Danio rerio: one gene and its partner. The protein of the gene in region 1 purifies or fractionates together with the protein of each later gene. This does not show direct contact. Links are inferred from orthologs where the notes say so. Each region holds a gene or a part of one and is shown on either strand. Other genes may lie near its edges. The genes, in order: tnrc6ba and ago4.

Evidence for each region.
Region 2: the proteins of tnrc6ba (region 1) and ago4 purify together in Homo sapiens (co-immunoprecipitation; 3 studies listed by BioGRID and IntAct, with this or other methods). This does not show direct contact. The link is inferred for Danio rerio from reciprocal best matches to the Homo sapiens genes TNRC6B and AGO4.

The regions. Positions count from the first base shown.
Region 1 is NC_133187.1:20,944,480-20,951,712, reverse strand, and holds the start of tnrc6ba (trinucleotide repeat-containing gene 6B protein), read right to left. Parts: upstream 4,723-7,233; 5' UTR 4,452-4,722; intron 4,193-4,451; exon of another isoform or gene 3,743-4,192; coding exon of another isoform or gene 3,644-3,742; exon of another isoform or gene 3,494-3,643; intron 3,287-3,493; 5' UTR 3,256-3,286; coding exon 3,199-3,255; intron 2,444-3,198; coding exon 2,422-2,443; intron 2,229-2,421; coding exon 1,878-2,228; intron 1,717-1,877; coding exon 1-1,716. Other genes in the region: si:ch211-141o9.10 (probable endonuclease 4), read left to right, coding at 3,644-3,742, 6,894-7,077, 7,150-7,233.
Region 2 is NC_133194.1:50,608,682-50,615,474, reverse strand, and holds the end of ago4 (protein argonaute-4), read right to left. Parts: intron 4,967-6,793; coding exon 4,767-4,966; intron 1,912-4,766; coding exon 1,803-1,911; 3' UTR 1,789-1,802; downstream 1-1,788.

The DNA of each region.
Region 1 (7,233 bases):
GTGGTCCAAGGATGGAGTTTGAGTTTAAGTTGGCATTTAGAGATGCAGCTTGGAGCAGAGAGGGGGAAGATGGATCAGTAGTTGTGCTCCCACTAGGACCAGAGTATGGCTGGGCATGAGCAGATGCACCAATAGACAAAGAATTTGCACCACCAGGTGCTTTTGCTCTGCCTCCATCTTCCAAATCCCATGCCACATTCTGACGGATTTGTGTCTGACCCCAACCAGTATTGGACAGCACTCTGGGGTCCAGATCCGACCGGCTAAGCAGATCCTGTAAGGCCACTTCAGGGTCAGGAGGCTTATGAGTGCGGTGGTGGCCATGGCGCTGATTGCCACTTCTGGAGTTTCCTCCACCACTGGAGGATGAGGTACCTTCCCCACCTCTGCTACCCTGGCCTCCCCACTCACTCAAATCTCCTGCTCCCACATCCCCAACTGCTTTCTGATTGTCCCAAGCTCTTGTCATAGTTGAAGGTGTGGAGGAGGTTGTCGTCGGGATGCTGACACTACCACCACTACTGCTGCTGTTACTGCTTGAGCCGTCTTTCCCACCTTGATCACTGACACCTCCAACACCACTGGATGCCCCCCATTCCCCACCCAACAAATGGTCCCCACCCCACGCTCCCTGAGATACCCCGGGGGTCTGACCCCCACTTCCTGTTCCCCAGGCACCTGCCCCCGTCAAATCTCCTCGATCGTCCTGGCCGGGATATCCCCATGCCTTCCCACCTTCAGCAGACAAGGAGCTCCCTCCTGCTCCATCATCCCAAGATTCAGTCCTTGAGGCACCCGTTTTGAAGTTTGCAGGGAAAGGCTGAGTTCTCCACAATGATGAGCTGGTGGAGGAGGAAGACGAAGCAGAGCCTGCTCCTCCACCTGTGCTTCCAGAGTCCATATCAGCCCCCTCTGTCACCCCAGTGTTTTTTGGTCCTGCTCCTGGTTCCAGTGCTGTGCCACCCCATTCTCCACAGGATGGCTCTCTGTCTCTGGATTGCATTTGGTGAAGTTGGTGCTGATGAGAGGCTTGATTCACAGAAAGAGGGTTGCTGGCAGACAAAGATGAGCTTTGGAGGGAAGAGGAGCCACCCTCTGTTGCAACTGTCCCAGCCCCTTCCTGTACTAGGGCTGGCCAAGCAGAGGGATTGGCATTAGGGGTAAAATTGGCACCTGGAATCCCACAGCTGACACCAAAGGAGCTATCAGAGCTCCCTGGGAGAGGGGCAGCTTTGGATATGGGGGGCAATGAGCCTGCTGCTACTGCATTCCCCCCTATGAGTTCATGGGAGGATGAAGCCCAAACACTACCAGACTGCATACATTCATTGGGTGATCCAGAGGATGTGGGCGGAGAGGGACTGCCAGAATTGACTCCTTTCCTTCCGTTCCCTCCTCCCACAACTTTCGCTTGCTGCTGGAGATGCCTCTCACCCCACGAGGCATTGCAGTTCAGAATCGCACCACTGTCTGTACCTCCTGTACCTGCTGCATCCCCTGACTTTGATCCATCCCCAGCAGCAATACTGGGCCATTCCTCCAGGTCTGACCGGTCCACTATCACCTTTTCCCTGCCCTGAGAGAGGGGATGGCTGCCAGAGCTGGTCCCCCACATGGAATTTGCATAATTTGAAGAAGAAGAAGCAGCGATTGATGAGGCGGATGACGTATGGGGCAGTGAGGGAGCAGCTGGACCCACAGGGCCCTGGCTTGGATCTGAAATAAAATAAAATCTTCAAGATATGCTAGACTTTTTTATGACACAAAAACCAAGCATATGTAATACAAACTATAAAATATAATGATCAACTTACCCAGTGTACAACTGAATAAAAATGTAACTATGCAATTTAAATTATTAACCTAATGATTCCTACCTGAGGCAGAAGCCACTGTTTCATTGGGGCTGTCTCCCCCGCTGTTGCCTCCCCCCAGCAGCATGGAGGACAGTGGTGGCTGGCCCCTCTTCAGTAGCACTTTATGGTCCTGCTGGCAACGGAATCGAGGGGGCACTTCACGGGGCATGTAGCGCTGAGAATTCGGTGTGCTGGGGGAGGGCTGTCCGTTGGCCACCGCCGGCCGCTTAGCATTGTTCCCACCCTGAGGGAGGGTGCCAGCAGCCGGGGTGGCAGCGGATGGGGTTGAAGAGGGGACGGGGCCAGGGCTGGGGGAAGCTGAGTTGGGGGCGGCAGGAGACTGTGCAGATGGAGGCTTGGTCAATTCTGGCACTGTGTGGTGGAAAAGTTAGGAGCAAATGAGAGCAGAACTGCAGAAAAGCTACATATAGGTAAAAGAAAAGAATAAATTCACAAGTTAACAAAGTGGACATTACATAATATGCCTCCTTGACAGCATAAAAACACATAGTCTCAGAACGTCAGTACAGAGTTCAAAAATTAAAGATGGAAATAAAATAGTTACCTTTATTTTTTTGCTCTGCAACCTAAAACAATAAAAAAGGAGATACAGATTTGATGAAAACATATATTTTAATTTACTCAGGGCACACAACAAAGTTTAAGGTATTCCTTCTTCATCTCTTAACTACATTCCACCGCATTTAATAAAATTATTTAAAGTAGCCTTTCCCACTAAGAACAATAAAACTTTAATGACCATTATAACTCCATCTCAAAACTTCACAATTGTTCAGTGAAGCTGAGAGGAAATTCACATGCAGAAACCCTCTTGCACCCCTGACAGCAAAATGGAAATATTTTTATAGCATGTGATATATATAGGTTTTGCAATGAGAAAAAAAAACTAATTAAACAGCCAACATAACCTATCTGTGTTTAGCACATATATGTCAGAGTATCTGACAGGACAAGCTGGCCCAAAACAAACATCTCAACTATATCTTACACATTCTTTTCAAGGATTTAGATATGGTAAGCAAGATTATATTGAGATCAAACCTAAAGCATGAATGCTAATTAAGTGATAGCAATCAATATTTTCATGAACAGCCAAGCATCAGTATTTCTACAATGATACTTTGACAAACATGTACCAGAGGCTTGGTTGATGCAGTTAACTATTAATACGACGTTATTCTCTAGAAAGGACTTCTACATTTACAGCATAAAAAGTGAATCCAGAATGCTATTTCAATTCTGAAAATGAACACACATCTTTTCAAAGACGGTATGTGCTTAACTTAATAGTCAGAAATAATTAATATAACATAGCAATTACCTTCTGCGAGGTTTCCCGTTTCCTTTTATCTTCCTTTTTCCTTTTCTTGTCTTCCATGAACTGCTGTTCCCTTTCCTGGTGCTCCTTTCTTGAAAAACAAAACATCAAAAACTAGTGTTCAATTGTAAAACTTTGTAAATGTAAATAAACTGCCATGTAAATAATGATGTAAATAAATGTAAATAAACTGCCAATTCCTAGTATACAATACCAAGGATCTGCAAAATGCATACGTCTAGTATCACCTTCAACCAGTTCAGGCACTAAGAGGTGCTGCTGTGTTATCAAACCAAATGCATAACAGCACAATACACAACAACGGCACCAATCACATGATCAAGATATCACCAATCTTTGTAAAAATAATTTGAACGAAGGCTCGAGTGGAGTTTGAACCTGTCATTAAAAAACGGATGCCAATGAAATTCATACTGTGATCTTCATAATGGGGGAAACTCTTGCTGCTATCTGTCTGGAAGCCTGCAGTTGGCAGGGCAGAGTTGTTGGACAGGCGCTTCGTCCGTCCACCCGCCCATTTCCTCGGGTAAAATTTAAAATATAGCATACATTCCTTACGTCGGCTATACGAACAATTCGAGCAAAAACAACTGTTAAATCCAGTGTTTTAACGGCACTAACTGAAACACACCGAGCTAACGCGTATGCTTTAGTGGTCCTGCCAATCTCAGGTGTATGTTACTCAGTTAACGTTAGCTAATTTGCTAGCAGAAGATATTAACATCCTAAACGTGAACCTCAGATATTTTATTAAATTCTCCCTGAAGCCAGAGTCTATTTACGTACGGATCGTAACACAAATCAAAAGGGTAAGCAGCTGTCAAAACAAAATATGCATAAATATGCAACTGCTCAAATATGGGCAGCAGCAACGTTAACGTAACGTTAGCAAGCCTGGACTAATAGTCGTGATATACATTGCCTAGCTAAACTCAACTTATACTTATTTTAACGCAGACATAACTCAGATCCATTAGTGTGTTACTATACAACAACGAGTATGTTTTCATGATTGACCAGCGGAAAGCTAACGTTAAAGTTGCATACAGGCAAATGCTAACTGGCTGCCTGGCTAATTTAACTAGCGACAGAGCTAGGGCTAACAGATGTCGACGAAGAAAAACTGTACCATACTAAAACGCTTTCACGCAACTGCGGTTTTTCAAAATGCATATTAGTGTCATTAGTTGCAAGCAACATTTCACATGAAATGATTTTTAAAATAAAGCACTTACCTCAGGAATTACATGCACCGCAGCTAGTCTTCTAGCTACAGCTAAAGTGCTTAAGTGCGAATTTCTGGGTTTTGAGGCAACGTGAAATACAATACTCCATCAATATCTATGAGCTAGTCATGAAAACACTCCTTCTGTAGGTTTTAAATATGAAATACGATAATGTAAACGAAAGAGGCGGAATCTATGTTTAAAGCGCTGTAAAGTCAGTTGGTTGACGGTCGGCCATTTTACTGCTCGGTGTGAATGTGTGTGTCTGGACAGATCTGACGGAAGGGGGGCAGCCGAGGGAGATTTTTGACCTTCAATATTAAAAGTCCAATAACTCTTTAATTGGACGTTCTTTTAATAAATAGAACATATTTGGCATGAGACCTGACTCATTTGCAGTGAATGTTAATTATACGTAATGTTACGTAAGGTAGCCTACTGCTTTTTTGTAAAAATTGTTAAGGCTATCTCAGTCTGTCACAAGAAATTTCATCTTACTTAAAAAGAGCGATGCCTCACAATAAATACTAACGTTAAATGTACATATTTGCAACATTTGTTAAGGCTACCCCAGTCTGTCATAATAAGTTTTATGTTTTTATAATTTAGATAAGGTTTTAGATTTTTAGTACACAGAGGCCTTTTTTGAATCAGCATCAATTTGTATAACGTTACAGATACTAAAATGATGAAGAGTATAAATAATAATAATAATAATAATTTGTAAAATGTGTTTTTAAATACATTTTTATGTAAAATCTCTTTTCAGCTTTAAGACCTTAAATATTGTGTGTAAACACACACATATAATTATTAGAATAATAATAATTAAATAAATAACAAAATAAATAATAAATAATTATTAGAATAATAATACATATTCCTCCCTGAATTATTAGCCCTCCTGTTTGTTTTTCCCCACTTTCTGTTTAACAGGGAGATTTTTTTCAAGACATTTCTAAACAGAATAGTTTTAATAACTCATCTCTAATAACTGATTTATTTTATCTTTGCCATGATGACAGTGAATAATATTTGACTTGATATTTTTCAAGACACTTCTATACAGCTTAAAGAGACATTTAAAGGCTTAACTAGGTTAATTAGATTAACTAGGCAGGTTAGACTAATTAAGCAAGTTATTGTATAATGATGATTTGTTCTGTAGACTAAAGGGGCAAATAAGTTTGACCTTAAAATGTTTTTTTTTTTTTTTATTAAAAACTGCTTTTATTCTAGTCAAAATAAAATAAAGACAAAATATTATCAGGCATACTGTAAAAATTTCCTTGGTTTATAAGCATATTTTGGGAAATATTTAAAAAAGAAAAAAAAATCTAAGGTGGGCTAATAACAATTCTGTCTGGTTCTCAAATCTGATTGGCTGATAGCCATGCGATATACCCGTAATAACAGCACTTGCACTTGTAAAGCCTCTTCACCCTTCTGTAATATATACAGTTGAAGTCAGATTTATTAGCCCCCCTTTGAATTTTTTTCTTTTTTTAATAGTTCCCAAATTATGTTTATAGACCAAGGAAATTTTCAAAGTATGTTTGATAATACTTTTTCTTCTGGAAAAGTCTTATTTGTTTTATTTCGGCTAGACTAAAAGCAGTTTTTAAGCTTTAAACTATAGATTTTTTGATAGTCTATAAAACAAACCATCGTTATACAATAACTTGCCTGATTACCCTAACCTGCCTAGTTAACCTAATAAACCTAGTTAAGCCTTTAAATGTCCCTTTAAGCTGTATAGAAGTGTCTTGAAAAATATCTAGTAAAATATTATGTACTGTTATCATGGCAAAGATAAAATAAAGCAGTTATTAGAAATCAGTTATTAAAATTATTATGTTTAGAAATGTGTGGAAGAAATCTTCTCTGCATTAAACAGAAATTGGGGAAAAAATAAACAGGGGGCTAATAATTCTGGGAGGCTAATATATCTGAATTTCAACTGTATGTGTATATATATATATATATATATATATATATATATATATATATATATATATATATATATATATATATATTTATATATATATATATATATATATATATATATATATATATATATATATATATATATATATATATATATATATTTATATATATATATATATATATATATATATATATATATATATATATATATATATATATATATATATATATATATACACACACACACATATACTTTTTATAAAACTACATATAATACCTTTGTTTAATACTGGATTATTTTTAATAAAACAAAATTAAGTTTTTTGTATAATCTATTTTTGTAGATTTGATTTTTTATAGATTCTATTTTATAATCAGATTTTTATAAATAGTAAAAAAAATAGCAATCTTTTCATCAGTATCGATAAACCACATTATTTTAATTGCCTAGTTAATCATGGCGTTTTACAACAATGTCTAGCCACATGTTTATTCTTGACTTAGAAAAAAAGCATGGCCTCCCGAAGAAAAGGCGAGAAGAAAAAAAAGACGGTGGAGCTCACTGAAGCAAAGAAGCAACAACACTTGGATGCAGAACCATCAGATGGCAGCACCAAAGAACAAATGGCATGCAAAAGGAAGATGAAACCACAGAAAAAATATATAGGCGCTCACGTCTCAATTTCAGGTGAAGATGCTTTATTTTTAATGCAGTATTTGTTCCAAACACATAACAATTCTAGAAATTTTCCTTAATCAGGAGGAATATGGAAAGCAGTGGAGTCCAGTGTGGCCATGGGAGGTCACGCTTTTGCCCTTTTTTTGGGCTCTCAGCGCTCCTGGA
Region 2 (6,793 bases), on another chromosome or scaffold:
ATAATATTGCTTCGCAGTGATGCTCATGATAGAAACTGGAATTAAATGTCATGTATCTGCCTAAAAAGGACACACGATAGCCAGGACTCGCCGTGACAGTTCGCTAATACAATTATTGCATGTTGCTCGTTTCCTTTTTCTTCTACGATCTCGGATCCAGCGTCCACGCCAGCGACAGGCTGGTGCTCAAACTCATTCATAGCAAACCTGCTGCTTTACGGATGGTTTATTACAAAAGTGTTTCCGCGAGCGTCCGCCTGACGAGGCGTGTGCGCTGGAGACCCTCGGCAGTGCTTTCTGCAAGTGTGTGTTCTGTGTCCTATGTTTAATACGCGAGAGAAAGTTCATCAAGAGATTCATAAACAAACACACACACACATAGAGAGAGAAAGTAGTAATAAACACACTTTTAAGTGTAAAATTCATATAACTGCTGCTGCTAATATCCGAAAACAAACAAACCATGTGTCATTTTAATGCTAAAATTTGATCGCAATATGAAAAAGTGGACGAAGCCAAGCATTTTGGGCCCTCGATACCAAACGCCAAGAGAAAACAAGCCGTATAAAAACAAACCAAACTTAAAAATCTCCATTTACAAGCACAAACGACTCCTGGATCGATGAGTTGCGCGATTGATTTGCCGACGACTGATCGATAAACATTAAAACGACAAGAACGACGATCATCTACTCTAACAAACTGTTAAAGTTTACCACAAAAAACCATTTATATTAAACTCTTACAAATCTGATTTGACTCTTATGTATAAATGCATAAAAGGAAGGGAGAGTGCTGTATGTCGCAAACCTAGCCAATCAGACGCCTGTGCAATGGCCACACATCCGTTGAGCGATCAATAACACATGCGCCGCTTCTGGACCAACACAAGCCTGCTTTTAAAAACAACCCCAGCGGCCTGTGGAGGGACCATGGGTAATGCTACTGCTACACAAAAACCATCAGCTTATCATCAGAGCCAAGAGGAATATGCTTATAGAGTTGTAAATATTTATACATATTTTTTTTTCCATATATCTATGTGTGTGTTAATATAAAAAAAGAAGAGGCATTTACAGCAGTTTGCTCCTAGATTTCCCTTTACAATTCAGTGGCCTGCACATTCACACATTCACACACACACTCAAACACACACACACACTAAATGGGAGCAGGGTAATGGGTATGTACAACCCAGGTCACCTCGTTTGTAAAAGACCATGAGGAGAGTCAACAAAAACAAAACCCCGCCCCCTTCGTTAACATGCAAGCCCCGCCCTCCCCTCCCTCCCTCCCACACAAAAAGACAAGATTCAGCCGATGGCGGCTTGAGGTAAAAGTAGACAGAGTCCAGCTTAGCCGAGAGAGCCAGAGCTGCCCTGACCGGTGGCGCAGGTTTTGCTCACACTCAGTGTATATTACAAATCAAAAAGACATTCAAAAAATCAAAACTAGAAAGAAAGGATAAAAATAAACGGTTAAAAATGGCTCAATTTGATTTTGTTTTTTTGTTTTGTTTTTCTGTGTGCATTGGAGGTCAGTGGCCCCTCAGTGCAGGACTGCTGGTAGAGGCTGGTTCTTCTGAGGCCGAACATTGTGGACTGGACTGACTGACAGACGGCCCCCGCTTCAAGAGAGAGAGATAACAGAGAGAAATACAGCATGAGAGAGAGAGAGCGAGATAATAGAGAGAGAGAGAGAGAGAGAGAGAGAGAGAGAGAGAGAGAGAGAGAGAGAGAGAGAGAGAGAGATAATAGATATAGCTGGAAGGAGTGTAGAAGTGCGCCTCCTGCTGGCTGTGGTCAGGCGAAGTACATGGTGTGCTGTGTGTCGTAGTGAATCTGCACAGCTTTCGCCAGCGCCTGCGGGTCTCGACCGTTGCTCTGTCCTGATACGTGACTGCCTTCAGCACTGAGACACAAAGCACACACACACACACACACACACACACACACACACACATCAATATACACTGTCCGGGATGTGTGTGTTACAGAAACTCTAAGGGGACCCATTATGCACTTTGACATTCCTTTTTTGCACATGGCAACTTTTTCAGTAATGTTAGTTTGTGTTTTTTAATTTAAATTGCAATGTAATAAGTTTATTAGTGTATGTGGGATATTCAGTGTATTCAGACCTACAGTATGGTCTGATTAGCTATTTCATACATTACTGTAGTTCAAACCATGCATTTTATTTGGCTAATTTTAGGCGATACGGAAAAACAAACAGCCTTTGCACACTTACCGTGTCGGTCGAAGACTGTTGAATGTATGTTCTCATTGACTGATTGGCACAGTTATGCATTCACAATGGTATGAACCGTTATAGGGGTGGTCAAATGTATATTTATATTACCTATTATTTCTATTATTGACATTATTATTTAAAATACAGTCCAGAGTGAACTACTTCTCTGTATTAAAGGGCTGACCCCCCCTATGCATTTTGTGTTTATCTCCTTCAGGCAGTGTTGCCAGATTGGGCGGTTTTGAATTTGATTGTGGGTAAAAAAATGGCAGGCGGGTTGACAAAATTTAGGCGGTTTTGAAACATGATTTTTATTTTATATATGCAACTTATTTAACAAAACATATGTGCTCCTACTCCATTCAGTTAGTACTTACCAGTGCATAGTGCAAACCGCCGGGTTCTACCCGCAAGAGTTGAAGAAAAGTTATCAATATCTGACTCCACTTCACGAGAAGTTAAACGCACAGCGGTTTATCATGACACTTTTATCAATCGTTTTTTCCGCAAGTAACAGCAAGAACAAGCATAGAAGCATTTTCTGATTGACAAGCAGCACCTAATTATATAAGAATTTAAAATGGGACAAATTTATATCCCAATTCAAAAGTAAAACACTCAAATAGGTAAGTGCAGTATGTGGGTGAGAGGGAGGGCAGGGTTTCGATGTGATCCAGTTATGTTGTGGTCCTGTGATGCTGGTGTTGGTTGCTGTATGGTTTATATATATATATACACACACACACACACACATATATATATATATATATATATGTATATATATACATACATATATACATACACATATATATATATATATATATATATATATATATATATATATATATATATATATATATATATATATACATACACATATATATATATATATATATATATATATATACATACACATATATATATATATATATATATATATATATATATATATACATATACATATATATATACACACACACACACACACACACACACACACACACACACACACACACACACACACACACACATACATACATACATATATATATATATATATATATATATATATATATATATATATATATATATATATATATATATATATATATATATATATATATATATATATATATACACATACATACATACATACATACATACATACACACACACACAGTTAAAGTAGGTAGATTAATTAAATATCAATAAAATATTAATATAATATTATATGGGCGGGTTTTGGACAACTTTTCGGCTAGAAAAAGTCTGCTATATCTGGCAACACTGCCATCAGGAGGTGTTATTTAGGGGGATCAGACACCTCCAAACCCCCCTGTAATTTGCACACTGATTACACAGTGTGAAAAATTTAAAACGGGACAAATTTATACCCCATTTCAAAAGTAAATACTCAAATAGGTAAGTGCAGTATGTGGGTGAGAGGGAGGGCAGGGTTTTGATGGGATCCGGTTTTGCTGTGGTTCTGTGAGTGCTGGTGTTGTGTGCTGTATGGTTTAAAATATATAACAGTTAAACTAGGTTAATTAAGTAAAATATTGATCTAATATTTTGGGTGTTTTTTTGTGTGCGTTTGGGCGGGTTTTGGGCTGGAAAAAGTATGCTATATCTGGCAACACTGCCGTCAGGGGGTGTAATTAGGGGGATCAGACACCACCAAACCCCCTTGTAATTTGCACACCGATTACACAGTAGAAGAACTGGAAAAAAGTACAGATGGATACCAGTGCCGCATTACAAGTACAATACCAGTAAAAACCTGAACAGTACCCAACCCTACTAATTTCAAACCTTTCCATTGAACATAAGATATTTTGAATAAAGCTGGAAAACTAAGTACTAATGTCTACAATATGTGTTTTTCCTACAACAGAAGTCAATGGGTTACCGGCTTTAAGCTTTAATCAAAATATCTTCTTTTGTGTGCAGCAGAACTCAGAAACTCAAAAGGTTTGAAACCATTTCGAGTATGAATAAATAATAAATAAAAAAACTTTTAAAAAGAGATATTTCACCCAAAACTTTCAATTCATTCAGCGTTTATTCACTATTCGCTTGTTTTAAACCTGTTTAAATGTTCTCTTTTGTTGAATGCAAAAGTAGATATTTTGAAAAATGCTGAAAACTTCAAACCACTGACTTCCATAGCATTTGATTTTCTACTATAGAAGTCAATGGTTACCGGTTTTCAACATTTTTCAAAATATCTTCTCTTGTTTTTAGTAAACACAAAAGCTGACATTTTGAAGAAAGCTGAAAACCTGTAACCATTGACTTCCATAGCATTTAATCTTCTACCATGAAAGTCAATGGTGACAGGTTTTTCTAACATACCTTCGTCTGTGTTCAACAGAAGAAATAAACTCAAAAGGTTTAGAATGATAATTTTAGGATGAGCGCTCCATTTAACACCACATTTTCTTTTGTGTGACGAGCTCAACACGTATTTATGGTCACTTTACACAGGCTCTTAATACTGAAGTGTTACTAACCTGTCATGGTCTTTGTCCACTAAATGATAGCGTGCGCGGAAGGCCACTAGCCGGGCGTAGTAAGCTGGCGCGGGGATGGAGACGGAGCGGGTGCAGCGCACATAAGTGTGGCAGAGCTGGTAGGTCAAAAGCTGGAGCTCGTCAGCGGTGAAACAGTTGTCGTCCCACAACACGTGATAGTGAGAGGGACGGCTGGTGCCCTGCGGGAGAACACGGGGAAACAAATGAGTGAAAAAAAGTTCCACTATATACTGGGAACATATGCAATACACAATATTGCAATATGATTCTAGTGTTGCAATAACGATATTTTGGTCACACATAAACAAGTATGAACAATACTTGTACAGCATTTATTAATGCTAATTCAACATTTACTATTGCATTATTAACAAACAAATTCATGCTCGATAACATTAGTTAATAAACCGTGAGTAAACATGAACCACTGTATTTTTATTTGTTCATATTAGTAAACGCATTAACTACAATAAGGTTGCATTAGTTAATGCATTTACTAACATGAACAAACAATGAACAATACATTAACTAGTATTGTCAGTTCATGTTAACTCGCGTTGCATTAACTAATGTTCATAAGCATGAATTTGGATTTTAATAAAGCATTAGTAAATGTTAAACTATGATTAATAAATGCTTTTACATGTATTGTTCATTATCAGCTGATGTTAGTAAATACATTAAACCTTTTTGTAAAGTGTGACCGATATTTCGTGCTATAACTATAATTTTTATTGATGCTATTTCTTGTGATATATCTAACTAGTGCATTTCATCAGCAATTAAACAAATATACAGTCAAGCATGCCAAATTCTGACTTGTGGTCGGTTCTTCGTACACGGATTACTCAGTTAGCTGGATTTGGATATTGACGATTTGACATGATCCAGGATCGTTTCGTTCTTCAAAGCTGATCTGAGAGTTGTTGTCATGGCAACAGTTCTGCTAGCTCAAACCTGATCGGGAGCAGGTTCAATTCACGTAAACAGGATTAGATCGGCTCAGTTTAAGCAAAGGTAATACAAAAGTAGCCTACCGAATTCTGATATTTTCTTACAGTAGTAGTTATATACACTTGGGAAAATAGTAAATATTTTTAACTAATATATATATATATATATATATATATATATATATATATATATATATATATATATATATATATATATATATATATATATATATATATATATATATATATATATATATATATATTAATGAAATAAAGTTATACACATTAATACAATTATGCAATCTGCACCCTCGAAATGAAAGTATAAAGACTGCCACCTGGTGGTGCAAAGAGAAAACTTACTTATATGAACTTTTTAGATCGCTTTAGTACAAATTGTGTATAATAGAAATGAACAATGTGATTTTTTTTTAAAGGAAATAATACATTTATGCAGTCATAAACATGTTTTTATAGTTCACAAAAGTTGCAGACTCCTATACCAATATCAAAATGCTTTTGTAAACATCCAGTTATTCTTTACACCGATTAAAAAAACGGCTACTATAATAAATAAAATATTTTCTAAATGTAGAACTAAATGCATTGAAATACATGATGAATACTCTCCACACATGAAAGTGTAAAGCCTGCAGCTCACAACAAATGTGGAAGGTTATTGCTTGTCATATATAACAAACGGTTTACAGCTAATTTGATGTAATTTAGCTCATAATAATATAATAATTGAATATTAATTAGATGACGTCATTACGCTGTTGTGCTGTCAGCCAATCGTTGCATTGTTGATCATGATTGAGGATGGATAGATCTGTCCTTCACAACACATGCAGCGATCTCAGATCAGTTCATCCAGACATTCTAATCTGATTCACAAACTTGTTTGAAGAACTAAATTAGCCAGAGATCAGTTATCAAGATTAACAGATCCAGGATCTGCCAAATCATCTTAGATCATTTAAGCGAGGTACGAAGAACAGACCTCCGGTTTCCACAATGATGCCTCTTGTACATATTATTTTTATTATCGTT